Mus musculus: one gene and its partners. The protein of the gene in region 5 purifies or fractionates together with the protein of the main gene of each other region. This does not show direct contact. Links are inferred from orthologs where the notes say so. Each region holds a gene or a part of one and is shown on either strand. Other genes may lie near its edges.

Region 1 (4,268 bases), on a different chromosome or scaffold from region 5:
TGAGCTGCAGTCTTAGTGCGGGAGTCTCACTCCATCACTTAGAAGAGCCCTGGGGAGTGTGCCAAGGGAGTCTCCCGGGTCAGAGGATCCCAACAAGTGAACTCATCGCTAACATTCTGTACCAGGGCCTTTCAGCAGCTTGGTCAAACAGCTGTCCTGCTTGGGACAGCTCAGGGTGGAGCTCTGATTCCATAACCAGTAGCCAAAGAAAATAAAAATAAATAGAAGGGCTAGGAGATGGCTCCATGGGTAAAAATGCTTCCTGATGAGAAGGCTAGGCTGACTTCATGACAAGCTTCAAACTGGCAGTTAAGGAGAGGTGGCCTAAATCTGTTTCCAAGAACTGGCCAATTCCAGACAAGTCCAGGCCTCAGAAGCTGCCCCACCACCTGGCCTGAGGCAAGGACAATGGGTAAGCAACAGTTTCCAGACCTCCCCAGTAAGTTTCCAGCCCCCGCAGCCCTGCCATGGAACGTCCATAGAGATGGACCTCACAGATTAACATAGAGGTCACCTGCCCCGGAATTTCCTAATGTGCTTTAAATCAAACCTCCAAGTTAACATGGGTGTCTATTTTGGTAATTCGAGACTCCAGCATGCTCAACTTCTGCATAATAAGACACTCTTTGAGTTTTCATACTATTTGAGTCCGGAATATCATTCTTTGGCACCCCTACTGGGCAAGCATGAGAACCTGAATTTGTAGCTCAAGAAGACACATTAAACCATGGTGGTGCACACCTGCAATCCCAGCACTCACTAGGATCTCTGGAAGGTCGATACCAGCCTGGTCTACATTGTGTGTTCAAGGCCAGCTAGGGATGTACAGAGAAACACTATGTTCCTCCCAAAATGATAATGATTTTTTTTAAAGCAAGGATTAAAGCTTGATGGCCCACAGTGGCCATCCAGCAGTGGAGAAGCCGAGTCGGGGTCTAATGCAAGTTCATGATCGGCTAGCTTCAGCTGCCACAGAAGCCCATCTCAAAACAGGAAAATCCCAGAGATTTGTTTTCACTTCCTGTCGCCAGGGAACGCCAGACCTGCCGTTCGTGTTCAAAGATTCTATTTGAGTTGGTAAAGACAAAGAGATCCATAAGGGCAAGAATGGAAGGCTAGAGCTGGGCAGTGGTGGCGCACGCCTTTAATCCCAGCACTTGGTGGGCAGAGGCAGGCGGATTTCTGAGTTCGAGGCCAGCCTGGTCTAGAGTGAGTTCCAGGAACAGCCAGAGCTACACAGAGAAGCAATGTCTCGAAAACAAAACAAAACAAAACAAAGAATGAAAGGCTAGGAGCGCAAAATAGGCACCGCGCGACTCGCATGCATTAGCCAGCTTCGCCCACAGTGTGGCGCCGAATTAGGCGCCGAACCAGATCCAGGAGAGCACCTCTGCGCAGGCGCCCTTTCCCAACATACACCCCGTAGTGGGCGTAACTTGTGCTGCGGCCTTTTGCGTCGTTCTAGTGTCGCACTTTACGGCTACCTCTCAATCCCACCGTAGAAATACGGTGAGGCCGTCCGTCTTGTTCCGTAGGTACCGCCCTAGCCCGTCCCGATTGGATAGATGTCCGTTGAGCTGCTCGCTGATTGGTCATAGTTTCTGCCAGTCTTTTTCAGTCTGGGGCGCGCGGTGGGCCGCCGGTGGGAGCGCGTGTGTCTGTGCCGCGGCGGAAGTTATCGCTGCAGGGAAGATGGTGAGGGCCGCGAGGCGGAGGGGCGCGCGCAGGGTCTTCGGGCTGCTGAGAGATGGGGGAAACTGAGGCCGGAGTGACCGGTGTCCCTCCAGGGCCCCAGACGGTCACCGTTGGGGATTTATCTCTTGATGGACACGGTTTTTGCGACCGGAAGAGGGACTATGATCGTTTCCGGGGCTTGTCACCGTCATTGATAGGAAAGCTGCGTTTCCGGGAAATGGGCGGGCTTAATGGCTCACGTGGGCTTCGTTGCCCTCTTGATGCTTATCTGGTGTCTGACCTCAGCTGCCCACGCCTTTGGCTGGAAATCCAGCTCAGAGAGCGGGTTGATTCTCTCCCTGGGACACACAGCATGTCTTGCTCAGGAAGAAAGGATTTTTTTTTTCTCCTAGTTTAGGCTCAGGCCTCCTCAGTTTGGGGACTCTTAGACCTGGCATAAACAAGTAAAGGAGGCCAGGTTTCCCCCTGCTCTGTCGAGGGGCGCGTTGGCCTAAGTGAGGAGAGCCACATATTCCCATCTCCCCAGTTCTTGATGGTAGGATATTTGGTTTGTTTTTTGGTTAGGCTTTCTGATCTGAACTGACATAATCCAGGCTAACCTCAAACTCCTGATCCTCTTGCTTCAGTCACTGGAGTATGGAAAGGACACGTGTATACTCCACATTTGAGTCAGGATGTGAGGCAGGGTCTCATATAGCCCAGGCTGCCTTTGAACTCCATTTGTATACATGCATCACTGTGAACTCCTGACCCTGCCTTTACTCCAGAATGACCCTGGGTTTTGTGGTGCAGGAACTCTAGGCCTAACACATGCTAGGTAAGCACTCCCCACTGGGTGTACCCTGAGCCTTCCTGAAGGGATGGCCAGGTGCGTCCAGGACTGGACACCCACCTCATGCAGGTGCGCACAGACACTCCCATATCTCTGCGGTCAGGCTGGTACAGGAGTGTCCCAGCTGAACATTCCTGAACTCAGAGCCCTAGACTTGGTTCTTTAGCTATCTCATCTACACACTGGATCCCAGAGAGTCTGGATGATGGCTGAGAAGGAATTTCCCTTCCTGGAACTGGCTCCTCTAATGGGAGGTGCTGGGACTGGATTCCAGAACGGGTGGCTATAACACCTGCAGCTGCTCTGTGTAAAGCTATGTCTCCTCCACTCAAAAGCCTGTGACTATCCCAGCTCCAGCCTCCCTGTCTGCCCTGGCCCATTTCACTCTGAGCTTTTTCTTCCTTCATTTTGGGGAGACATTCCTAATTACTTCTTTCATTCCTCTCTCCCACTGCACACACAGTAGGGGAGTGGGGGGTTGTGGTGGCCTGTCCCTACACCACACTTTTCTTACCTGTGGCACTGGACAGGATGCACCTGTGCTGGGTGTCCCCACCCCTGCGTGTTCAGCAAGTGTTTACTGCTCCTCCCTGCTGCAGCAGAGCCCACGCCCACACTGACCTTGTGTCTAGCCAGGGAGACTGATGCTAATCACCCATAATTAGAGAGCGGCTTCAGCTGCTGAGCTGGAAACAGGCTGGCAGCCTAGGGTGGCCATTAGGGTCCTGACCACAGGAGGGGACATGCTCAGCAGGATTGGGCAGAGAGTCTAGGGAAGGGCACCCTGGGTGGTGGCTGGGGCCCTGGCAGGAGGAACGAAAGTTGAGCAGTAAGGCTGGACCTTGCCATCGCTGCCTCCAGGCTGTGCTGGGCCATAGCAGTTCCGGAAGAGCTTTGTGTGCCTCTATTCTTGTTTAGCAATGTTTGCCCTTGAGCCCTTGCTGTGCCTTGTATTTGGGAGTTTGACTATTCTATTCCTTTATTGAAACAGGATCTCATGTAGCCCAGGTTAGCCTCACACTGTAGCCAAGGATAACCATGGCTCCAACTACCTGGAGCTTAGCCATAGGATGCTATACTGTGGCTCTTTTCTGCTGTTTATTTGAGGATCAGGGTGGACACCATTGTCACTGATCACCAAGGCCACCCACCCACCCACCAGCCATTTTCACAAAAGTCATCCTCTGCCTCCTACCCTTCCAGGAAGCCTCTGCAGGAAGTGGGCTAGAGCTTCACTTCCCTGCCACTAACTCCTCCCCGCCCCTCAGCTCTTCTTGGGAAGGGCCTTGTACTGTAGGCTCCCCCAGTCCTCTCATGACCCAAAGTCCCCATGCTGGGCATGATGGCCCTGAGGATCTGGGGCTCTTGTTGTTTGTTTCTTCTGTTTTTAAAATGATTTATTTTTATTTCATGTGTTTTGCCTGCATGCATGTGTCTGTGAGTGTGTTGGATCCCCCTGGAACAGGAGTTATAGATGTGTGAGCTACCATGTGGGTGCTGGGAATTGAACCCAGGTCATCCAGAAGAGCAGCCTGTGCTCTCACCTGCTGAGCCATGTCTCCAGCCCCTCGTGTAGTTGTTTGTTTGTTTCACTGTGTAACCCAGTTGGCCTGGAACTTATAGATAATTCACCTGCCTCTGCCTCTCAGTGCAGGGATTGAATGTGTGCACTGCATGCTTGGCTGTAATTTGATTTTTGTGTATTTTGAAGACAGGTCTAATGTAGTCCAGGCTGATCTCA
Region 2 (3,500 bases), on a different chromosome or scaffold from region 5:
GGAAACTGGGGGGCAGCCAGAGTGTACCCCTCAAGAGGCTGTTATTAGAAGAGCCCACGGGTATGAGGCTTACCTCCCAGAGTCTGGGGTATGGCTGCCCTAGATGAGGAGTGACTATTGTAGTGGCTGTTACCTTCTCTAGAGGTTCAGTTTCCTTTCTCCTTGCCATTGCTCCAGGATCTCCGGCGGAAGGCGGCCCGCCTAGTGGCTGCCAAGTGTACACTGGCAGCTCGTGTGGACAGCTTCCATGAGAGCACAGAAGGGAAGGTGAGGAGAGGACAGGCATCTGTCCCTGGTGCTTGGGGTCTTTTCATGGGAAGATGCTACTTCAGAGACCTCTTCTGACTAGCAGACAGATGTGTCTGTCTGCAACCCCTACTGAGGCCATCACATTCTCAGCTCTGTATCAGTTATGACAACTCACTATAGATGGAGTAGCTTCATATAAAAGTTGGCTAGGCCTCTTTAACATCAATACTTGAGAGACAGAGGTGGGAAGATCATTAGTTTGAGGCAGTCTGGGTTATATAAGTTTCAGGCCAGACTGGGCTGCATAGTGAAATCCTGTGTTTGAAAAGAAAAAAAGCCCAGGGCTGGAGATGCGGCTCCATCACTTCAGTTCCTGCATGCAAGCATGAGAACTTGAGTTCAATTCCTAACTCAGGTTAAGGGAAAAAAGAAAGCAGGCAGAGTACTTCACATCAGTAACTAACCCCAGCTCTGGGAAGGTGAAGGCAGGAGGGCATTTGGAGCTTGTGGGCCTGGCAACCAAATCAGTAAGTTCCAGTGAGAGACCCTGTCTCAGGAGATAGGTGAGGTGTTGGTGTAGAAGCCATGATACCAGATCTTTGGCTTTTTGTGCAAAGATCCTCTGCCATGTAAAATGTAGTCACAGATCCTAGAGACCAGGACACCTGACACCAAGGTGTAGCCCTGTGTTGGAAGGGACAGTATTTTGCCTACCATAGTAGGACCTGTCCTGTACTAGCAGGGACATGATTCCAGTGATACCATCTATTTTTCTGTGTGGGCTTAAGAAACAATACTGTGTGCATTTCCCTGCTAGAAATTACATCATAGCCCAGGTCAGAGGTTCAGTCTTTGGTTTTGCCTTTTGCCACTTTCTAAACAAGGCAGTACAGCAGGGGGTTATATAGATGTCAAAGGTCTGCCTCAGTGGCTTTTGTGTGTGTGTGGTGGGTATACTGGGATTGAACCTAGGACTCTACGTGTTCTAGACAACTGATCTGTACCACTGAACATACATCTATAAGATCTATACATCCTCAGCTCACCCTCACCCTTTTGTGAGACATGTCTTATCTCTAGTCCAGGAAAGCCTTGAACGAGTTTTGATCCTCCTGCTCCAGCTGCTAGCTAGGATTGGAGGTTGCTGTGTCACACAGCATTTATGTTCTAGCTGGGACCAAAACAACTAGGCAGTAGTTCTGAAAAGTCTGTAGTGGGTTCAGTGGTGCTTTGTGAATGCCAGGGGCAATCAGGGGGGCTGTGGGGTTAGGAAGCTTAGACTCTGATGACAGAGAATGTGAAGAAAAACTTCTGAGGACGTTTTAATTTGGGCTTGAGTGAAGTTATAGTCAGTCGTGTGGCTACTTGTGCTATCCACTTGGAAGAGTGCTCCAGACAGAGTGAATAGTGAGTACAAAGATCTTGAGGCCAGAGTTGAGTGAACCCCAGCAGGGAGAGGAGCCTTCTGCTTCCAGGAGCAGATAATGTGTACAACCTTTGAGGGCCTCTGGCTGCTGTAGAGGCACTGAGAAGCAGGCTAGCTGGGGTCTGTTCTAAGAGGCCAGGGGGATCTGTGGTGTGGAAGTAAGGCAGTGGAGATGACACGCTGTCTGTTGACTAGAGAATACAGGGATTCTGCCTGGCCCAGGACTCAGACAGAGACAATTATCCAGAGGGTGCAGAGCTTAGATATGAGGACTGAACCTGAGCTACAAGTTCAAGGAGCACTAGGCACTGGAACCCACAGAGCACCATTCCTGGACAAACGTGAAGAACATGTCTTGGGGAGGGCACACTGTCAGGTGGTCAGATACACAATAGATGGGTTGATGATATATAGATGTTGGCTGAGGGGACAGTTTACATGGCTGGCCACCGCTTCTCAACTCCCCCCTAGGTGGGCTACGAACTAAAGGATGAGATTGAGCGCAAATTTGATAAGTGGCAGGAGCCACCACCCGTGAAGCAGGTGAAGCCCCTGCCTGCACCCCTTGATGGGCAGCGGAAGAAGCGAGGGGGCCGAAGGTAAGGAGTTCTGATGGGGCTAGACGTTTGGAAGTGGGGAAGGGAAACAACTTCTTCCCAGCCAGCTCCCTATATCCTGTTAACACCCACTTGCCCTAGGTACCGCAAGATGAAGGAACGGCTAGGACTGACGGAGATCCGGAAGCAGGCCAACCGCATGAGCTTTGGAGAGGTCAGGCTTGATCCACAGTACCAGTGGGACCATATTAGGGTCTTCTCTCTGCACATCCTGCTGCCATCCCTCCTCCCCACCCTGTAATCTGAGAGCAGATCTGGGGCTACCCAACCCTCCTCCCTCTTGTCTAGCCTCTCCTCTTAAACCACCTTCTCCATGGTGATCTTTGCAGCTCTCAGCTGGCTGGCTTCCCACGCAGCTCTCCAGGCTGCTTCTATATCTGACTGTCATCTAGGTGGTCCTGAAAGAATCCGCTTAGGTGCCACCTCAGTAGCGCGGCTCATCCCAATTCTTGGCAACTTAATGTGGATGTAGAGAAAAAATGGCTACTCTACTCAGGTCAGGAACCAGTTCTTCCCAGGGTTCCTAGCTATACCCAAACAGAGGTAGGATAGGCTCTTGTTTTTGTTTTTGTTTTTTCTTTTCTGAGACAAATGTGAAGCGAGCTTTAATTACATACTGCTAAGGATGATGGACTCTGGCCAATAGGGTAGGCTCTTATTAGGTCACTTAATGCTGCCAGTCCCCTGGCTGATGAGGTGGTGTCCATGAGACTGGCTGATTGGGTTCTCAGGTGACTGCCTCAGGGGACTGGCTGGATGTACCCAGCTTCTTAACCGCAGGTTGCTCTCGTCTCACCAGATTGAGGAGGATGCCTATCAGGAAGACCTGGGCTTTAGCCTGGGCCACTTGGGCAAGTCAGGCAGTGGGCGTGTGCGGCAGACCCAGGTGAATGAGGCCACCAAGGCCAGGATCTCCAAGACACTGCAGGTATGGATTGGGCCCATGAGAATGGGAGGCAGGTGGGATATGGAGGTCAGTGAGCCTGGATCCCAGCCTCCCCTTTCCCTACAGCGGACCTTACAGAAACAGAGCGTGGTGTATGGTGGGAAGTCAACAATTCGTGACCGCTCCTCAGGGACTGCCTCCAGTGTGGCCTTCACTCCACTCCAGGTACCATACCCTTTTCTACCAGGCATATGATAAGGCTGCTGTGGAGATCTGTTGAGATATAGCACATGAGCTTAGGCATCCACAACCACACAGTAAG
Region 3 (4,054 bases), on a different chromosome or scaffold from region 5:
CAGAACGAAACAAAACACTACAATGTATAGGAAACATTTACACTTCTCTCAGGAGGCTTAGCACAGCAAGGGGTGATCTAATCAAAACACTGGCCCGTGACATTTCAAAACTGCTTTATTCTATCAGATACTACTTTCTACCAGATCCTTACGTAGAGAAATGGAAGTCAGCTCCAAGGGGGAAAGGAAGAAACACTTAGAAAAACAACAACAACAACAATAATTCCCTACTTGCGAGGGAACTTTCTGAAAGCCTCACCACTAGAGAGCAATAATGAGTACGAGTTAAAAGCGCGGCTCGGCGGCTCGCGACCTGCCACGTTACTAATTCTACTACTACGGCTCCAGAACGACCTTTTCTCACCAGAATGTTTTTTGGTTTTTTTCGGGCTTGTACTCTTGTCCGTGACTGAGATGACTAAAACAGAATAAGCTCGTTGCGCGTAACTCGGCATTAGTAAGTCCTCGAAAAGGAAGTGCTCTTCTAATTGGAGTTGTTCGGGGCAGGGCCTTGAGTGTGGAAGTGAGTCTGTTCAGCTCGGCAAACGCGCATATTTTTGTAACCCCCACAACTTTCATGTAAGGATTTTTTTTTTAAAAAAAACCTTATCTCTGATGGCCTAACATTCATTGGAGCTACTACTGCTGATATGCTCTTTATCTGGAGCCTTCATGGACCCTTTATTTCAAAGAACACAGACAAAGAATAGGCTGTAGACAAGTAAACCCACAACAAACTAGGCCGCAGCTCCTCCACCACATCTCTATTTTAGCCTTAGAAGGTCTTAGAGTTTAATATCTTCTTGAAGCCCAAACTGATTACGTAGCCACCGAGTTACGAGGGGCCCCCGAAGGACTTCCGTCGTGGACAACAGTCCTCTTTCCCAGCTCCAAGGCTGCAGAAGTCTAGGGAGAGATTTCCATGGCAACACAGGCCTCAGCTTCGAAATGGCGGAAGGCCTCCCGAAGGATAACAGAGACCCTCGTTTTGTTCCAGATTATGGTTGCGATCCGCAAACCTACCTCTTTTCAGGCCTCTGCAGTTCCCCAGAACCTCAACTCCCACCATGACTCCATTGCTGCGCAGCCCAAACTACACCTCCCAGGCTGCTCTGCGCCTCTCTTCCCATGCTCCTCTTCTCCCGCGAGGTTGTGTAGCTCTGTAAGGCCACGCCCCTCGACTCCAGCCGACCTTTGGCAACTACCATTCCCAAGATACTTCGCACGTAGTACGTTTCTGATACGTTTCCGGCCAGTGACGCACTTCCACTTTGCTAGGCGCGCGGTTCCCGGTCTGAAAAGTAGAACGCGGATTTGGCTAGGGCCTCGCGTCTCCGCCGCCCGGCATGGCCTCCTCACGAGCCTCCTCCACGGTACGGAGCTCTGGATCTAAGCTCAGGCCTGCCCTAGAGAGGCCGGGGGTTCCCGTGGGAAAGGGCCGTTACCTTACGGGTCTGGGCCGAGGAGGAGGAAAGCTGAGGGACCCTAGTGTGGACCTTAGTAGCCTTTTCCTGATGTCTTCGTGTGCTGCAGCTCTCTTTGCACTGCTCTTACTTAAGTCCTGAGCAGAGACCACTCTTTCTGGCTGCTCCAAAACACGGTGCTTTGGAATCGGGTTGTGTCCTGACTTAAGCTGTCCGACTCGTACTTACTATGATGAGGCTTCCCAACTTGTAATCGGCTCTGAAAGTATTTGAAATGTGTATTCCAGTCACATCGTGACTTGGTGCACCTAGAGCCACCCTGATTGTTTAGGTTGTTTTTAGTGTCTGCCCAGCAGTGAGAAGTTATTTTCGTAAAACCGGAGATTGCTTTTCCAGTCGATTAAAGTAACGGGCCCCAAAACAACCAAGACACTTCAGGCAGAAATTGATTGGTCGTATTTGTGTGCCAAACTTAACAAGAGCCTTAACTCGCACAAAGTCAGTTTCGACTTTCTCCTCTAGTTTTGAGAGGAAAGAAGATGAAAGTGCAGCGTTAGCTTCATTCTTTTGGGAAGCATGGTTTGCTGGAACTAAACCTTAGTCCGGGTCTTTGATTTAACAGACAACCAAAACCAAAGCGCCTGACGATTTAGTTGCTCCCGTTGTGAAGAAACCACACATCTACTATGGAAGCTTGGAAGAGAAAGAGCGGGAACGCCTGGCCAAAGGAGAGTCTGGGATTTTGGGAAAAGAAGGACTCAAAGCCGGCATTGAAGCAGGAAATATTAATATAACATCCGGTAAGATGCAAATTGCAGGTCATTACCCCCACACACACACCCTTTTTTAAACAGTGCTGGGAATCCAACCCGGGTTTTTTTTTTTTTTTTTTTGCATGCTAGGCAACTGTTCTGCCACTGAGCCATACATTTCCATCTCCCCCCACCCCCCACAGTCTCTTACCTTTGACCTCAAACTCCTCCTGCCTCCTTCCTGGTCGCCACCATGTACTTTTGATGATTCAATATTCTGATGAACACCTTCCCAAACCACATAGTATTAGGTTTATAGGCCAAAACCTTCTATTGGTCTGGGGAGCTAGTTCAGGTGCCAAAAGCTTTTCTCTGTGACCATTAGGACCTGAGACTGAGCCCCAGAACCCATGTTTTTTTACTGGCTTGTTTTTCCTTTTTCTAAAAAAAAAAAAAAAAAAAGTCAATGTGGTGGTACCTACTTAGAATGAAATGTTGGGAAGACATACTTGCAAACGCGTGCAACCTTACCCTTCTGTTTTCACCTTTGAGCCTGTGACTTTACCTGCTTGACATCATCCAGTGAGTGGATTTCTTGTATTCTCTACAGTTCCTTGCAGGAATGACTCGTGGTCTCTGTAGACTTCTTGAGTGGATTTGTCTTTGGGAGATGTAACCTAGTTCTGGCATTGGTTTATAACTGTTTATAGAATTCTTTCCTTTACTTTTCTAGGGTTTTTCTTTGTGTTTTCCTTTTTGTTTCTGTTTTTCAAGACAGGGTTTCTCAGTGTAGCCATGGGCCAAGCTGGCTGGCCTCCAACTCAGAGGTTCTCCTGCCCCTGTCTCCAGAGTGCTGAGAATAAAAGCATAAAAAAGAATAAAAACCACTACCTGCCTAGTTTAACTTAGTTATTATAAGTATTTAAATGTGCACACTTTTTCCCTGTACACATATACTATTCTTAAATGTCTTCAAGCCTGTCTCACTGGGGGTTAGGAGGGGCGAGGGGTTGTGGGTTTTAAAACTAATCGCCATAGTATCCAAAAAGACTTACCTTGTTGTCAGAGGAATCCTGTTTTTCCTGGTCATTATTTCCTCTCACTGTGTGTGAATGCTCTCCTGGGGGTACTGTTTTAGCAGGTAGGAGTTGGGCTTTCCAAATAAGAAATGTTCTAAGCTATAGAAAGAGATAGTGAAATAAATGGAAGAGGTGGCCTGGCCCTCCTGCCCTCAGTTTAAAGCATCACTTGGGTTTATGTGTTTGCTATCATTTAATAAGCTGAGAATTGAAAATGGTAAGCTATAAAAAGTAAGATAGATTAGATACAGTTCTTGCATATGCTTACAACTTTTCAGCTCTTAAAGACCAAAACAAATTTCAGTATTAATAAGATGGACATACTTGTTTATTGATAGAGAATTAAATGTTAACTGAAATTTTAATATTGTAAGTCAGGGCATTTTGAATATTTTTCATAATACTTTGATTCTTTCTTTCTTTCTTTTTTTTTTTTTTAGTTAGCAACTCAGATATTGTGCTGAACTTAACAGGCATACACTGAGCTTCTCCCCATCGTCCAAACAGCAATTCTAAATAAACAAATATTTTAACACGGTATAGTCCAAAGATAAAACTATTTGATATTTGATGCTGAGGAAATTAAATGTTTTCCTTATAACTTTGTACAGTGAAGACATTGCAATTCATCAGATGTAATGGCCTCTGAGCCACTTTGCGTGTGGTGTTCCTTAGTGTCATATGGCATGGCAGACAATAAGTACATTACAGAATTGCACATGCTCAGCACCAAGGCTGCAGCAAAGATACATGGTGCAGCCCAGCAGGGACCCTTCGATATTGCTGAAGTCTCTGTGAG
Region 4 (4,198 bases), on a different chromosome or scaffold from region 5:
AATCTATTTAGATTATTACACTAGAGAATTCCACCCTGCAATCAGCAGGTTTAGACTCTCAGAATTTTCACCTGTGTCCCGTGACTGCCTTGCACCTACAGCCAGCCTCAAGAAGAGAAGACAGAATAGAAAGTGTTTCCCTATTTATCCAGACATGATATCCACAGAAGATACAACCTAGCAACTTCCCACTTAATGTAATTATTTAAAAAAAAAAAAACAATAGGGCTGGAGAGATGGCTCAGCAGTTAAGAGCACTGACTGCTCTTCCAGAGGTCCTAAGTTCAATTTCCAGCAAGCACAGAGTGGCTCACAATCATCTGTAGTGGGATCTGATGCCCTCTTCTGGATGTCTGAAGAAAGCCACAGCATACTTACATAAAACAAGTCAATCGAAATAACAACAAAGCCCTTTCATCTCAGACCATCTCTTTCTTCTCTGGAACTTGCCTACTGAGGCTTTTCTAGTTTTTTGTTTTTTTTTTAAATCAGTCAGCTCTTGTGAACTCCTTCACAACCAGCATGTTACAAGCCTGGTAATGCTGTTCCCAGAACATCCAAAGTAGTATCTGTCGGTGATCTAGTTGAAAATATTTCAGTAATGCAGGGATGGATCAGCAGTTACAAGCATCTGTTGCTCTTCCAGAACACCCAGATTTGATTGCCAGCACCCACAAGGAGGCTCACCATTGTAACTCCAGGCCCAGGGCATTTGAAGCCCTCTCTTCTACCAGGAACTCATGTAGTACAGACATAACATACAGGCAAAAACTGTCAAACACACACAAAAAAAGCTAAGATAAAGTAAAATATTTCTGTCACTGAGTTCCAGTCAGTTTAGTCCTTTACAGACGAGTCCTATGCCAAATTATATATATATATATAACATTAGAGCTGGGATGTTGTTCATTTGCTTTGCTTAGAATGTGTCCGCTCTGGGTCAACTTTGCACCCCAAAAGACTGAAATTGAGAGAAACTTACTTACTGGGAACCTTTGATAAGAATCAGGATTTGTGTTCCGGTTTCTCTCTCACACTCACACACACCATAACCAGTGTGTATTGGTGTATATTTTATTCTCTGACACAGGGTCTTGCTATAATAGCTTTAGTTGACCTCTAAACCAGAATCCTCCCGTCTCAACTCCAGGATTCCAGTTGGGCACGAACGCTGTCCAGCTCTTAGCAACATTTTAAATTTTACTAAAGAATACGCAAGTCATAATTTTCTCAATCTTCCCAATAATTCCCCATAGAAAACGTAGACTACGAGCTAATCACGCGGCAGAGAGAAAAGTCTCAACAACCATCAGAAAAAGAGACGAACTACGTCCAACGCGCAGCTGCCACGGCCCACGCATGCGCTTGTGAGAAAGCGGCTGCTCGGGAGGAAGTGGGGGGGACAGGAAGTTCCGCCCCTCTACCGGTTTGGCGGTCCTCTCGGCTCTGCCCTACCCCGCTCCCTTTGAGCCTGAATTCAGCCGAGGTTTTCGCGGCTCCCCGTGCGCCTGCGTGATCCAGTCTTGCTTCACGCGCGGGCTCGCGCTCCGGCTCCCGCCCTGCCTCCGGCTCGCAGTCCCCGGCGCCTTCCTTCGCGGTCCAGGCCGCCCCGCGTGGCGCCAGCACCATGGTGGGTACCGTGACGTCAAAAGGGAGCGCCGCCGCTCGCGGCGGGCGGTTCGAACCGTGCGGGCGTGGGTGCGGGCACTCGTGTCGGTCGCTTGGGGCGGCAGCCAGGCCCCAGGGTTTTCCGTACAGCCTTACTGCCCACACCCCAGTGTGAGGAGGCTGCTCGGAGCCGATGGTGTTTTGGGGGAAACCTTTAGCAAGTCCAAGAGAAAGCCCACGGGCGCCGGGGGAGAACGGGAAGCGAGCCTTGCACTTCTGTGCTGTTGACGAGGACTTTGTGAGGGTGCGGTTGGGAAGCGGTCTCAGCTGGGAGGTGGTCGACTCAGAGAGTGGGTTCTAGCGTCGAGGGGTGCAACGCAGGTCCTGTCACTCCGTGGCTCCGTGAACTGCAGAGTCCCGTTTAACGGATTGTTGTTGGTTATGAAGTTTTGAGAACTACTAGGAGGGGCTACAAAGACTAGTATTTCAAAATACTGTCACGGGCTCCTCCTCCCCGTCCCTTTTCATGTGATAGTTCCTCCCTCTTTTCCAATAGCTCTTCTACTCCTTTTTCAAGTCTCTTGTGGGCAAGGATGTAGTCGTGGAACTCAAGAATGACCTGAGGTAGGTCCTTATTTTAGCGAGTTGGTGGAAGGTGGGGGTGCCGGGTGTCCTGATCCTTTTTGTCGTTGTTGTTGACAAAGTTACTTCAGAGTAGGTAGGCAAAACACAGAAGAAATACCTTTCGTCTTAAGTGTAAAAGATTAGTTTAAGAGTGAGCCTGGTATTGTGACACATGCTTGTAATCCCAACACTGAACGCAGAGGTGTGAGTTCAAGGACAGCTTGGTCTACATATGTCCAGGGCCATCCGGAGTTACACAGTGAGATACAGTTAAGTAACATGTATGTGTAGTCCTGGCTGTCCTGGAACACACAGATCCACATGCCTCTGTCTCCTGAGTGCTAGGATTTGCCTGGCTGTATCATTTGCTCTTAACGATTCAGGAGTTGGGGTAAATGCTTAAATGCTGTACCACTGGAAATATGTTTATGGGTTCTTGTCACATCCGTTAAGGTCTACTTGGTTCCTAATAGTGCTTCGAAAATTATAGTTTCATTGAAGCCGGGTTTTGTTTGCTTTTGTTTTCTTTCATGTACTGGGCATGCTCAACAAGTGAACTTCATATGCAGCCCTCATGTTTCTCTTTAAAATAACTTTTTTTTTTTTTTCCAGACAGGGTTTTTCTGTATAGCCCTGGCTGTCTTGGAACTCACTCTGTAGACCAGGCTGGCCTCGAACTCAGAAATCCGCCTGCCTCTGTCTCCCGAGTGCTGGGATTAAAGGCGTGTGCCACCACCGCCCAGCAAAATAACTTTATTTGTAGACTCTTGAAACCTTTGAACACACATCAGTGGTTGACCAGCAGGATGGTTCTGACCAGTGTGGCCAAGTTAGAAGCTGGCCCAGACTGAGGTGCAGACTAAGACCTTTCATAGTCTAAAAGTCAAATCACACGAATGGTCTACAGAGCTGTGGGGATTCATAGGATGTAGAGAGTGAGGAAGTAAAACTCAGGATCTGAGGTGGTTAAAGTTGGTTACACAGAGGGTAAATATAATATAAGGTGGGGCATGTAAGGTGGTATGGGAGCACTGGCCTTGATAACCTTGCTTAGGGGCTAGAGGGCTGGAGAACTGAGAAGACTTGACTTGTATCTTCATTATTAAAGATAAGTTGGGGGGGATAACATTTGAAATGTAAATAAAGAAAATATCCAATTTTTTAAAAAAGAAGAAGAAGCCGGGTGTGGTGGCGCAGGCCATTAATCCCAGCACTCGGGCTACACAGAGAAACCCTGTCTCGAAAAAAAACAAAAACAAAAAAAAACCAAACAAACAAACAAAAAACTCATACGAGAAAAAAAAGAGTGTAGCAAAAATAATAAAGAGTAATTCCAGCTACCAGTATGTGTACATAGGTCTGTGACTCCAAAGCAGTAAATGTTTACAAATAACAGTTAGGGAAGCTGCAGAGATTGCTCAGTGCTTTAAAAAGAGCTTGCTGGGGGCTGGAGAAATGGCTCAGAGATTTTAAGAGCACTGACTGCTCTTCCGAAGGTCCTGAGTTCAAATCCCAGCAACCACATGGTAGCTCACAACCATCTGTAAAGAGAGCGGACATCAGACGCCCTCTTCTGTAGTGTCTGAAGACAGCTACAGTGTACTTAGATATAATAATAAATAAATCTTTAAAACAAAACAAAACTTGTTGCTCTCCCTGAAAAATAAGAGTTCAGTTTCCAGCAACTACATTAGGTGATTCACACCTACCTAGAACTCTGGCTGCAAGTGATCTGATGCCCTCTTCTGGTCTCTGTGGGTAACTACATGCACATACACACAAATAATAAAAATCAATATTTTAAAAATAATAGTTGATGCTTCTGGGAGTCATGCAGATCTGGGCTGACCTTCAGTTTATTGGTTGTAAGTTTTGTTACCTTCCATGACCTCTCTCATATCCTGGAGGATGATAATACTTTGAAAGATGATTAGCTAAGTGGTGTTGATAGCAGTGCATCCCTTAA
Region 5 (3,228 bases):
TTGGGAGACAGCATGGGCTTCTCTCTCCTGGGACCTGTCTGGATTAGGGTGAGGCTGAGACCTGTAGATCAGACAGAGAACAGAGTCCCAGCACACTTGAGTAGCTCCCCTGGCTCTCGGGTTCACGTGCTCTTTGCATTGGCATGTTTTTATAGTCTTTACCATCAAGAGCCTATAAAGTCAGAGTTTTGTTTTTAAATCTGTCTTTGGAAGGAGAAGGACACATATCAGGAACCCAGAAGGATGTTTGAATTGCAGACTTGGAAGATGGCGTGCATTGTCTTAAAGCAAGAGCCACTGCAGTTGTTGTGAAGGGAGCTCTGTGCTCTGGAGCAGTGGGTCAGGGAACACTGCTGCAGCCTAGGAGTGGGTGTGTCAGAGCTCTGCTTTTCTCTCTCCAGGGACCTTAGAAGATTGGGATCTAGCCATTCAGAAAACGGAGACGCGCTTGGCTCGTGTGAATGAGCAGAGAATGAAGGTGACACTGATGCTTCCCCAGGGTTGGGAACTGCACTGCTGTGCCCCTTGGTCTGCTTTGAGTCTTTTGTCTGCGTGGATGTCTGCACCATGTGTGGGCAATGCCCACAGTGACCAGAAGAGGGCATCAGATCCTGGGATAGTTGTGAGCTGCCATATGGGTGCTGGGAATTGAACTTGGGTCCTCTGAAGCTGGTGCTGGTAACCACTGAGCATCCCCCCAGCCCCTTCCTAAGATGCTAGTTAAAAAGCATGTTGGTCAGTAGTTAAACTTACCCCTTGCCATTTGTAGCTTCACTTAAGCTTTGGACTCCCTAGAAATTGAGCATACTAGATCACACAGAAGCCTCAGAGGGCTCACAGAGCCTCTCTCCTGGAAGCTGTTGACAATTGACAGTTCCTGGGAGGGGCCTTCAGCCTCCGTCCAGGGTGTAGCCTAGGGTAGGCTGCCCTTCCCACTGGGTGGATGCTGGATACACTCATGGTGCCAGTAGGACTCTGTGGGAAGAAAGATAGACAGACAGACAGACAAGAGTCAGTGCAGTTGAGGGAGATGTGGGGCTGTCATCCAAGGGGACTGGAGGGGAGACTGGGGAATTTGATCAAGAGTTAAGTTTGTAAAGGAGCCATGATAGGTCCTGAGTGGTTCGTGAACATCTCTTGCTTGCTTACACTAGTCAGCTGGCCGGGGTCTTCTGATTAACTGAGGTGGGAAGACCCACCCTAAATGTGCTTGGCACTGTTTCTCAGCTAGGGTCTGAAATGAAATAAAAAGAATGGGCAGAGCACAGCCCGCAGACATTCCTTCCTTCTCTTGTCAGTGGATGGCACTAGCTTTTTCAGGGTTGCGTCCTCAGCCCCTCTATAGACTTGTAAATGACTGCAGTGTGAGCTCAGGCTAGCCCATTCTCCCTGGGGCTTTTGTCAGCATTGTGTCACAGCAGCAGACCCCTGCTTTGGGACTGCCTGCCTCTCTTTCCTGGTGTGTAGTATTGCAGCGTGTATTGAGAGGAATATGAATTGAGTCTCCTCCTTGCTGTGTATTGTATGAGGGTTCCCACCCTATCTTACAAGCAAGCCAGCCAGCAGGACACAGCCTCCAGAACGAACGCCCTGTCCTCTCATTCCTAGGCCGCAGAGAAGGAAGCAGCTCTTGTGCAGCAGGAAGAAGAAAAGGCCGAGCAGCGGAAGAAGGTGCGGGCGGAGAAGAAAGCCCTGAAAAAGAAGAAGAAAACGCGAGGTGCCGACAAGCGCAGGGAGGACGAGGACGAGGAGAACGAGTGGGGCGAAGAGGAGGAAGGTACCGTTGCACTCGGGTGGGGTGCAGGCACAACCCATACATAGAGCCTCTTAACTCTGCGAGAGTGGCTGTGTTTCTCAGTGGGCATACTTGCACTGCCCTGGCTCAGTCAGGTTTCATAGCACTGACATCGGCTGCCATTTCTCTCAGTAGTGACTCTGCTAAAGACCCACTTGAAAATGAATGTTCTGTTTCCGAGCCCTGTGTAGCTTCTCCCTGAGGCAGTGGTGGAGGCCATCCAAGCCCAGCCCATGTCCTCTGGCAGGATGCAGGAGAAGTGCATGTATGGAGCAGTCACCTGCGGGCTTCAGAACCGCTCCCAGCTCCGTTCTTCAGGGCTGACTTGGGGATGGGGGCGGGGGAGGGGCTCTGCATTCTGCTGCCGGGTGTGGGAACCTGACTGTGCAGGGATGACCGACAGTGGATGTTTATGTTCTTGGTTTCATTGACGCAGCACCTTTGCTGGAGTGTAAAGTGAGCCCCACTGAATTGAGCGTGGAGACGGTGCAGTTTGTATGAGGTGGGGCAGGCCCGATGCTGAAGGAGTGCAGACCTGGCTAACTGCCTCTGCTTGTCTTTTGAATGCCTGCAGAGCAGCCTTCCAAACGCAGAAGGACGGAGAACAGTCTGGCCTCTGGAGAGGCTTCGGCTATGAAGGAAGAAACAGAGCTCTCCGGGAAATGCTTAACGATAGATGTTGGTCCTCCTTCCAAGCAGAAAGAGAAGGCAGCCTCCCTTAAGCGGGACATGCCCAAGGTGGCTCACGACAGCAGTAAGGACAGTGTCACCGTGTTTGTCAGCAACCTGCCCTACAGCATAGAAGAGCCCGAGGTGAAGCTCAGGCCGCTCTTTGAGGTCTGTGGGGAGGTGGTCCAGATCAGGCCAATTTTCAGCAACCGCGGGGACTTCCGGGGCTACTGCTATGTGGAGTTTGGAGAGGAGAAGTCAGCCCAGCAGGCCCTGGAGCTGGACAGGAAGATTGTGGAGGGCAGGCCGATGTTTGTGTCCCCCTGTGTGGATAAGAGCAAAAACCCTGATTTTAAGGTATGCTTTTTGAAGAAGGGGGTCTTCAGGGTGGGCTGCCCGATAGGCAGTGCTCAGCGCTGGAGCCCATGAGGGCTGACAGCGGCAAACCTTGCGAGGCGCTCAGGCTGCCTCGTGGCTTGGTCGCTCTGAGCCGCTGCCTCTTGGTTGGTGGTGGCCACAGTAGCATTTGGGAGGATGGCTGCTTTCCTTGGGGTGCTTAAGAGGGTGGCAAGAGTGGCCCTCACCTGTGTTCAGTGGATGGCCGTTTACAGAGGTGGGATGCCCAGGCGATTTTGTCACGTGAGTCTCTGAGACCAGAATGGCTCAGCTGTGCCTGCGCAGGACACGCACATGCTGGGGCGTGTCTGCCTGAACCACGGGCTGTGCTGTGTTTGCAGGTGTTCAGATACAGTACCACCCTGGAG
Region 6 (4,265 bases), on a different chromosome or scaffold from region 5:
TAAAAAAAAAAGTGAAAAAATGTTTCAAAAAAGACCTTAAGCTGGGCAGTGGTGGTGCATGCCTTTAATCCCAGCACTTGGGAGGCAGAGGTAGGCAGATTTCTGAGTTCGAGGACAGCCTGGTCTACAGAGTGAGTTCCAGGACAGCCAGGGCAATACAGAGAAACCCTGTCTCAAAAAACCAAAAGCAAAAACAAAACAAAACAAAAACCAAAAAACCTTAAAGGGTGTAACAACCAGGGCTGGAGAGATGGCTCAGTGGGTAAGAGCACTGACTGCTCTTCCGAAGGTCCTGAGATCAAATCCCAGCAACCACGCCCTCTTCTGGGGTGTCTGAAGACAAGTATAGTGTACTTACATATAAGTATCTTTGGGCCGGAGCAAGCATGAGAGAAGGAAAAGAGGGGGGGGGGGTAGCAACTGAATGCCCTCCAAAACAGAGGCAGAAGGGTACTTGGTAAAAGTGGTATAAGAGAAGCCAGCCTTTACTTCCTGGTCTTTGCTACCAGCAGTGGCAAACAGCATTTTAAATAGGCAAAGCCCCATACGATTTACTAGCCTAGAGACCCATCCCATGGGCAAACAACAATCCCTGAGACTGTTGTGCTTGCAGACAGGAACCTCGCATGGCTGTCCTGAGAGACTCCACCCAGGAGCTGACTCAGGGATGCAGAGACCACAGCCAAACATCCGATGGAGCTTGAGGACTCCTGAGGGCCTCCGAGGGGATTGGAACTCCACAGGAAAACCAAGAGTCAACTATGACCCTTGGGGCTCTCAGAGACTGAACCACCAACCAAAGAGCATAGACAGGCGGGACCTAGCCCCCTCCCACACACACACGGTCTTTCATGTGGGTCCCGAACAACTGGAGTAGGGGCTATCCCAAAAGCTGTTGCCCTGCTGTGGAATTCGTTTCTTCTGCTTGTCTGGACTCAGTGGGAGAGGATGAGGCCAGCCCTGCAGAGACTTGATGTGCTAAGGTGGAGGGAAAACCAGAGGGGGTCTCTACCCTCTCAGAGGAGAAGAGAAGGAGGGGGTGGGGAAACCGGGAGAGGCGGCAGCACTGGGGATGTAAATGTGAATTAAAAAATAAAAAATTTTACAATCATAAGAAAATAAATAAAATTACATTTCCAGCACCCGACTGAGCCAGGCTACAGTAACAAACCATTTTAAAATATGGAAGGTGACTCAGGGATCCTCGGCTCATGAGCTGTGACAGGGGACACCAAGTGTGACTGCTCAGGACATGCTGTCTGCAGAAGATTCATTTCTATTGCACTAATACAGTCATGCAAGTGGGGAGCCCACAGACTTTGACAAAGATGCCTGCGTTTCCTCCCCTCAGCTCCGACCAGCTCAGCCAAACAGTACCATTCCCAACAACCTCAGCGCGCGCCACACTTCCGGGGCGGGGCGCAATCGCGGTCCGTTTCCACTGCGTCTGCGCTCCGGATGAAGTTCGCGGGACCTGCCACCGGAAGCCGGGTTTCTACTTCCGGGTCAAAGCCATGGCGGTGGCAAATTCAAGTCCAGTCAATCCAGTGGTCTTCTTCGATGTCAGCATTGGCGGCCAGGTGAGGTGCGGGCGACCTAGCGGCCCGTGCGGGCTGGTTGGCCTCGGGTAAGGGAGGCAGCCCCTTATAGCCCTCCCGAGACCGGCTGGGCCAGGCGGCGGAGGGAGGTGGGAGCTTTCGAGCTTCGTGGACAGCGGTCGTGAGCTGAGTGTTGCGTCTCCCGTTTCTTCTGCAGGAAGTTGGTCGCATGAAAATCGAGCTCTTTGCAGACGTGGTGCCTAAGACGGCAGAGAACTTTAGGTAAGGATATGCTCCAAGTGAACCAGAGCTGAGCCCGAAGCCGGCCTCCAGTCGGTCTTTGCCATGTCTGCCTCTGTCCATCTATTCATTGCCTTGCAGCTCTGTGGTCTGGGTATTTCACTGGCCAAACAGCTACCGGCTGTGACTGATCCCATATCAACTTCTATCACTAGTCTACCTGCCCTGACATCCGCCCGATCAGTTAGTTGGCGGACATACTGGCCCCAGTGTTTGAACTCTCCTCTCCAGAGATTAGAGGTGCTTCAAGCAGTGATCGTACGAAGGCTAAATCGTTTGCTCTCTCTTTCCCTTTAGGCAATTCTGCACCGGAGAGTTCAGGTCAGTCTCAGATGTGTTTGATTTCTCTGCCTACTCCTGAAGGGGTGCCCTGGATGTTTGGTGAGGGTATTGGAGAACCATGAACAGGTCTTAAGTAATGGAAGATGATATGCAGAGAGAGGGTGACACCTTGAATGGGTTCTTTCTCTCTCTTTTTCCCCCTCCAGATCTTAGTGAGAGCCCTTTTAGCCTCTGGTGTAGCCTAAATGGGAAAGGCCCACCATTGTGTTTCCCCATTCCAAGTCTCTTCCTTCTTTGTTTACAGAAAAGATGGCGTTCCGATAGGATACAAAGGAAGCACCTTCCACAGGTAAGGGAGGTTTTTGGAAAACTGGAAATGCAGTCATTGCTTGGTATCTGTACAGGCAGTCCTGCACACCTGAGTTCAAACTCTGTGAGGCTTACGGCTGTTGTTTTAAATGGCATGTTCGCGGCTGAGGCTGTAGCTCGGTGGTAGAGAATTGGCCCAGCATTCATAAGGCCCTGGATTTGGTACTGAACACCATGAAGCCTATGCACAGCGCCTTAAGTCATCCCTGACTTGGTGGAATGCTGTATTGCAGAAACGATGCCAAGGAAAGCATGCTGTACCCTTTCAGTACCTGTTCAGTACAGGTGCGTGGCCACGTGCTCCCAGAGGTCTAAGCTCAGATCCTTAGGCTGCCACAGCAAGCACTTCACCCACTGACCCATCTCCCTGGCGCCAGTCAGGACTTCAGCAGAGGCTTTGCTAGTTACCGTTGCTAGGCAGTCATCTGTAGGAGCCTGGCTTTCATGATATATTTACTTATTTTTTGTTAGAGTTTGACAGAAGTTGCTCTATTCTAATCCTGAAAATGTCCATGTCTCCCACATAAGGGCTTTAAAGCTACAGTCTGTAACCCTCCCTAGCATTCTTGTGAAGTAGTATGTGTTTTCCGAGTTCTTCAAGGAAGGCTAAGCAAAGCGAAGGGCCATAGCTGGTGTACTAGCTAACACCATCAAGTCTCTGTGTGTGCAGTAGTCCATTCACCTAGATTTGCTGTTGTTCTTTTCCCCCAAATTGCAATAAGCCCTGGACATGATTTTTTCCTTTGGTGACTGTTGGTGATTCTAGCCTGGTTTCAGCCCCTTCCTGATGTTCAGGTGCGAACTCACGCATCTAAGATCAACTGAGTTAAGACTGTACTTGCTCGCCCTTTTCTAAGCTTCAGTGATTAATCCACTGAATCTTTTCTCAGGATTTTTTTTTTAACTGTTTCAGGGTCATAAAGGATTTCATGATTCAGGGTGGAGATTTTGTTAATGTAAGTACTGCTTCTTTTCTTTGTTATTTTTTTCTGGCAGGGCCCTAGTCTTGAGACTTAAGAGCAATAGCTAAGTTAAGTGGAGAGGGCATGGGATGTACTGTAGAGTTGCTGGCTACCACTGACTGTGTCCTTAGAACACATAACAATACTCTACTGAACCATAAACTTCCACTTTCCAAACCCTAGCTGTTTGTAACTAGAAACTGGGCTTTGCTGGCATACCTATAGGTGATCTGAGACGGTCCACATTCATTGTTCACAGAAAACTTTGAAATTGACTGCAATTTTTCCCTCAAAAGGAAGGGAGCTGACTGCTTTTGTCTCCCATTTTTCCTTCCACATCTGCACATCTTCTGTCACTGTCTAAAAACTCTAGTTTTTTGTTGGATTGCTCTGGGGGGGGTTAGGGGCCGGTCTTTCTTTCTCTTTTCCTTTTGAAAGCTAAGGTATTAATCACAAGCTGGTTAGCAAGCAAGGGATCAGATCAGGAGAGACAGGAAGTTTAAAGGGTGTTCGCTTGCTTGCTGAGGTAGCCCAGCAGATCCATTCTTCACAAAAAGACCATGACTGTTGGTGTCTCCATCCTTCCTTGGAGTGTGTCCAATAAGCTAGAATATCTCTTTCTTAAACCAGCTCTTTCCTTACCCATCCACCTCTGTGCATGCTGTCTCCTTGCTGTTAGCATTGTTTATGTGGGTGTGTTACTAAGTCCTTTTGTCTGAGAGATGGTCTTACTCCATCAGTTGTAAATTTAGTTAGATTTTTGTGAGTCTTTAGAGGTCTTCCTCCTACACAGGGTTGCAATGGCAGGCTTTAG
Region 7 (2,918 bases), on a different chromosome or scaffold from region 5:
GGGAACACTAAAAGGTTTTGACCAGACCATTAACTTGATTTTGGATGAAAGCCATGAGCGGGTGTTCAGCTCTTCACAGGGAGTAGAACAAGTGGTGTTGGGGTTATACATTGTGAGGGGCGACAATGTGTAAGTACATAAGTCATTTTGAGTACATTTGTGCTACTGGTATGTTTGCTTTATGGAAGAGAGAGTTTCTCCAACATACATGATGCCATATGTATCATAGAATTGTGCACTTAACTTGTTTTGTAGGTAGAGCTTATCTTATATATAATTCTAAATGCTGTATGTTTAGATGCCTCAGGGGTCAACTAAAGTGATCTCACAAACAGTTGCCTACTGAGATTTCCTGTGTCTTTACTTATTTGAGAATCGGGGTTTGAACCTAGAATCTTGTACATGGGAACAGGCAGTCTACTACTGAGCTGCGGTCTCTCTTTTTACATCTTGAGACCAGACCTTCCTAAGTTGCTCAGACTGACTTTCAACTTTAGGTTCCCCTACAACCGCAGCCTCCTAGTAGCCTAAACCATCATTGTGTGTGCCCAGATATGTCCACAAAGGGCCCTGCTTTTTCATCACATTTCTTAAAGAGGCTTCTTAACGATTTGGAAAATATCTTTTAAAAAATCTCCCATTTGAATTATTTTAAATGGTCCACGCTCATTTAACTGTTACTATTTTTAGTGTAGTGGATGTACTTAATGTGTGCCACGATGCACCTATTGTTTTGTTGAATTAGGACCCTGACAGTGTAGTTTGAGAAAGGCTGTAACCATTTCGAGCAGTGCTCTTCACAGTCACTTTTTCTAATGATGGGAAGCCTCACGCCTCAGCATTTTCCACTGTTACAGCTACTTGCTTTGTATAGCTGTGGTGTGTTTGAAAAGCGGCTGGTGACCAAAGAACTAATTTAAAAATTGATTTTGGGGTTATGTAGTTTGTTTGTTTGGTTTTGGTTTCTGAGGATAACCAGGCTGACCTGGAACTTGTTACCAACCCAGATTTACTTCATTTTCCTTTAGCTTCCCAGGTGTTAGCATTATACATGTAATCTACCTCCTGTGGCTAACATTTAAGTTTAAATACTATGAATAGTCAAAATATGACTAGAGGACAGCAAAAGACGTTAGTAACTAGGTGGTTTGAAGGGCTCCGTAAGATGTAGGGAAGAGACACTGAACTTACTTTGTGGATATGCTTAAGATTAATTTATTAATACTGTACACTTATTTTAAAATGAACACATGCTCTAGGCACTTAACTTTATCTGAAAACTGTATTTTGGTAAATATGATCAACTGATCCTTAATTAAAATTGTGTTTACAATCTATAAAATAGTCTCTGGAGATGACTTTTGGCTTAGATTATAACGTGAGTTATAAAGAGTGATCCAGAGCAGAGGGCCAGGTCCTCTGACCACAGCAGTACTGATGAAACACTGGGGGTGTGTGGACTGATGATTACGGTGCCTCCTGGGTCTATGTACAAAAAATAATTCAGAATTAAACATTTACCCTAAACCTGCTGGGACTAGAGCCTGCTTTCAGGAACCCATGAAAACAGTTTTAAGAATTTTTGCTAATAAATGGATTAGGGTCTTGTTAGTAGCTTGCAATTAGCCCCACTACCCCATGGAGACTTTTGTTTGCCTCATATAAATGCTGCAGATCAGATGTCAGTTTTCCAAAGAGCTGATGTTCAGACTCTTCACAGTATCTCTTTACATATGTTCCTGTCCTACCTTCACATTACTTCTTGAGTCCCATGACATGGGTAATTCAGTTCACTTAGTGATGAGATGAAATGGCTTTTGTTTCCTACCTTGTATTTTTGCTGCACCTTCTCAGTTCCACATGTTTAAGAAGCATGAAACAAGATGCTGTAGTTAATGAGACTTTAGAAATGTATGTCAATTTATTTTAGAAATGTTTTGACTCTTTTTTCTCATATTAATAACAGAGCAGTCATTGGGGAAATAGATGAAGAGACGGATTCTGCACTCGACTTGGGGAACATCCGAGCAGAGCCTCTGAACTCCGTAGCACACTGAGACCTCAGTGTGTAGTGAGATGTGTGTAAATCCTGTACAGAAGCGTCTGTCCTGAGAGTGATGTTTAGGGTTTTTATGAGTGTGTAATTGTGCAGTTTGACTTCATGTTGGTACACTGTAATATGTAATTTAAATATTTCTACATTTTTTATTGGGAAACATTGCCTAAATTAATAAATGTGGTTGGCTGGTTTATTTTTCTACCAAATGATACAAAAATCTAAGGATCATTTGAAAACTTAGAAAATACCATTACTTTTGGTAATTTAATATTTATGGGAAATTGGCTGTAAAGAGAACTTAGACTATTATTGTAACTTATACTAATGCAAATAATAGTAATAAAAGACACATTTCTTTTTGTGGTTTTCTTTTCTTTCCTTTTTTTTTTTTTAGAAATACCAGATAGTAAATGGCCGTCTACAGGTAACTGTCATAGAGTTTATCCCAATGTGGTACAGTTCTCCAGTAGTTGGAAAAATTGTGTCTAAATTTTTAGATGCCTGTTAAGGTCACAAGATTTGGTTTCTGAAAGAAGATTTTGTGAATGTTAAATGCCATTGTACTACTGAATTTTTTTAAACTAGAGTGAGGAATATCTCTATTCAAAGAGCTTTTGTTTAATGTGGGAAATTAGTTAAATCAAGAGCAGTGCTCTCTGCTGTCTCTCATTACTTAGTCCATGAGGCAACTTTTGTTGTTTTGTTTTTTGTTTTTTTGTTTTGTTTGTTTTCTCAAGACAGGGTTTTTCTGTGTAGCCCTAGCTGTCCTGGAACTCACTTTGTACACCAGGCTGGCCTTGAACTCAGAAATCCGCCTGCCTCTGCCTCCCAAGTGCTAGGATTAAAGGCATGCACCATC

The links.
Region 1: the proteins of Sart3 (region 5) and Lsm4 purify together in Homo sapiens (affinity purification with mass spectrometry; 4 studies listed by BioGRID and IntAct, counting the BioPlex papers as one, with this or other methods). This does not show direct contact. The link is inferred for Mus musculus from reciprocal best matches to the Homo sapiens genes SART3 and LSM4.
Region 2: the proteins of Sart3 (region 5) and Prpf31 purify together in Homo sapiens (affinity purification with mass spectrometry; 6 studies listed by BioGRID and IntAct, counting the BioPlex papers as one, with this or other methods). This does not show direct contact. The link is inferred for Mus musculus from reciprocal best matches to the Homo sapiens genes SART3 and PRPF31.
Region 3: the proteins of Sart3 (region 5) and Prpf4 purify together in Homo sapiens (affinity purification with mass spectrometry; 5 studies listed by BioGRID and IntAct, counting the BioPlex papers as one, with this or other methods). This does not show direct contact. The link is inferred for Mus musculus from reciprocal best matches to the Homo sapiens genes SART3 and PRPF4.
Region 4: the proteins of Sart3 (region 5) and Lsm2 purify together in Homo sapiens (affinity purification with mass spectrometry; 3 studies listed by BioGRID and IntAct, counting the BioPlex papers as one, with this or other methods). This does not show direct contact. The link is inferred for Mus musculus from reciprocal best matches to the Homo sapiens genes SART3 and LSM2.
Region 6: the proteins of Sart3 (region 5) and Ppih purify together in Homo sapiens (affinity purification with mass spectrometry; 3 studies listed by BioGRID and IntAct, with this or other methods). This does not show direct contact. The link is inferred for Mus musculus from reciprocal best matches to the Homo sapiens genes SART3 and PPIH.
Region 7: the proteins of Sart3 (region 5) and Lsm8 purify together in Homo sapiens (affinity purification with mass spectrometry; 4 studies listed by BioGRID and IntAct, counting the BioPlex papers as one, with this or other methods). This does not show direct contact. The link is inferred for Mus musculus from reciprocal best matches to the Homo sapiens genes SART3 and LSM8.

The regions. Positions count from the first base shown.
Region 1 is NC_000074.6:70,671,763-70,676,030, forward strand, and holds the start of Lsm4 (U6 snRNA-associated Sm-like protein LSm4), read left to right. Parts: upstream 1-1,468; 5' UTR 1,469-1,692; coding exon 1,693-1,695; intron 1,696-4,268. UniProt on the Homo sapiens protein: Plays a role in pre-mRNA splicing as component of the U4/U6-U5 tri-snRNP complex that is involved in spliceosome assembly, and as component of the precatalytic spliceosome (spliceosome B complex).
Region 2 is NC_000073.6:3,636,485-3,639,984, forward strand, and holds part of Prpf31 (U4/U6 small nuclear ribonucleoprotein Prp31), read left to right. Parts: exon of another isoform or gene 1-177; coding exon 178-267; exon of another isoform or gene 268-2,146; coding exon 2,147-2,274; exon of another isoform or gene 2,275-2,373; coding exon 2,374-2,446; exon of another isoform or gene 2,447-3,091; coding exon 3,092-3,220; exon of another isoform or gene 3,221-3,304; coding exon 3,305-3,403; exon of another isoform or gene 3,404-3,451; intron 3,452-3,500. UniProt on the Homo sapiens protein: Involved in pre-mRNA splicing as component of the spliceosome. Required for the assembly of the U4/U5/U6 tri-snRNP complex, one of the building blocks of the spliceosome.
Region 3 is NC_000070.6:62,407,529-62,411,582, forward strand, and holds the start of Prpf4 (U4/U6 small nuclear ribonucleoprotein Prp4), read left to right. Parts: upstream 1-1,254; 5' UTR 1,255-1,346; coding exon 1,347-1,373; intron 1,374-2,046; coding exon 2,047-2,224; intron 2,225-4,054. UniProt on the Homo sapiens protein: Plays a role in pre-mRNA splicing as component of the U4/U6-U5 tri-snRNP complex that is involved in spliceosome assembly, and as component of the precatalytic spliceosome (spliceosome B complex).
Region 4 is NC_000083.6:34,980,456-34,984,653, forward strand, and holds the start of Lsm2 (U6 snRNA-associated Sm-like protein LSm2), read left to right. Parts: upstream 1-1,398; 5' UTR 1,399-1,627; coding exon 1,628-1,630; intron 1,631-1,674; exon of another isoform or gene 1,675-1,801; coding exon of another isoform or gene 1,802-1,912; intron 1,913-2,164; coding exon 2,165-2,232; intron 2,233-4,198. UniProt on the Homo sapiens protein: Plays a role in pre-mRNA splicing as component of the U4/U6-U5 tri-snRNP complex that is involved in spliceosome assembly, and as component of the precatalytic spliceosome (spliceosome B complex).
Region 5 is NC_000071.6:113,745,173-113,748,400, reverse strand, and holds part of Sart3 (squamous cell carcinoma antigen recognized by T-cells 3), read left to right. Parts: intron 1-401; coding exon 402-478; intron 479-1,608; coding exon 1,609-1,777; intron 1,778-2,369; coding exon 2,370-2,821; intron 2,822-3,201; coding exon 3,202-3,228. UniProt on the Homo sapiens protein: U6 snRNP-binding protein that functions as a recycling factor of the splicing machinery. Promotes the initial reassembly of U4 and U6 snRNPs following their ejection from the spliceosome during its maturation.
Region 6 is NC_000070.6:119,317,724-119,321,988, reverse strand, and holds the start of Ppih (peptidyl-prolyl cis-trans isomerase H), read left to right. Parts: upstream 1-1,465; 5' UTR 1,466-1,514; coding exon 1,515-1,580; intron 1,581-1,755; coding exon 1,756-1,820; intron 1,821-2,135; coding exon 2,136-2,159; intron 2,160-2,424; coding exon 2,425-2,469; intron 2,470-3,402; coding exon 3,403-3,445; intron 3,446-4,265. UniProt on the Homo sapiens protein: PPIase that catalyzes the cis-trans isomerization of proline imidic peptide bonds in oligopeptides and may therefore assist protein folding. Participates in pre-mRNA splicing.
Region 7 is NC_000072.6:18,851,635-18,854,552, forward strand, and holds the end of Lsm8 (LSM8 homolog, U6 small nuclear RNA associated), read left to right. Parts: intron 1-1; coding exon 2-129; intron 130-1,966; coding exon 1,967-2,057; 3' UTR 2,058-2,418; downstream 2,419-2,918. UniProt on the Homo sapiens protein: Plays a role in pre-mRNA splicing as component of the U4/U6-U5 tri-snRNP complex that is involved in spliceosome assembly, and as component of the precatalytic spliceosome (spliceosome B complex).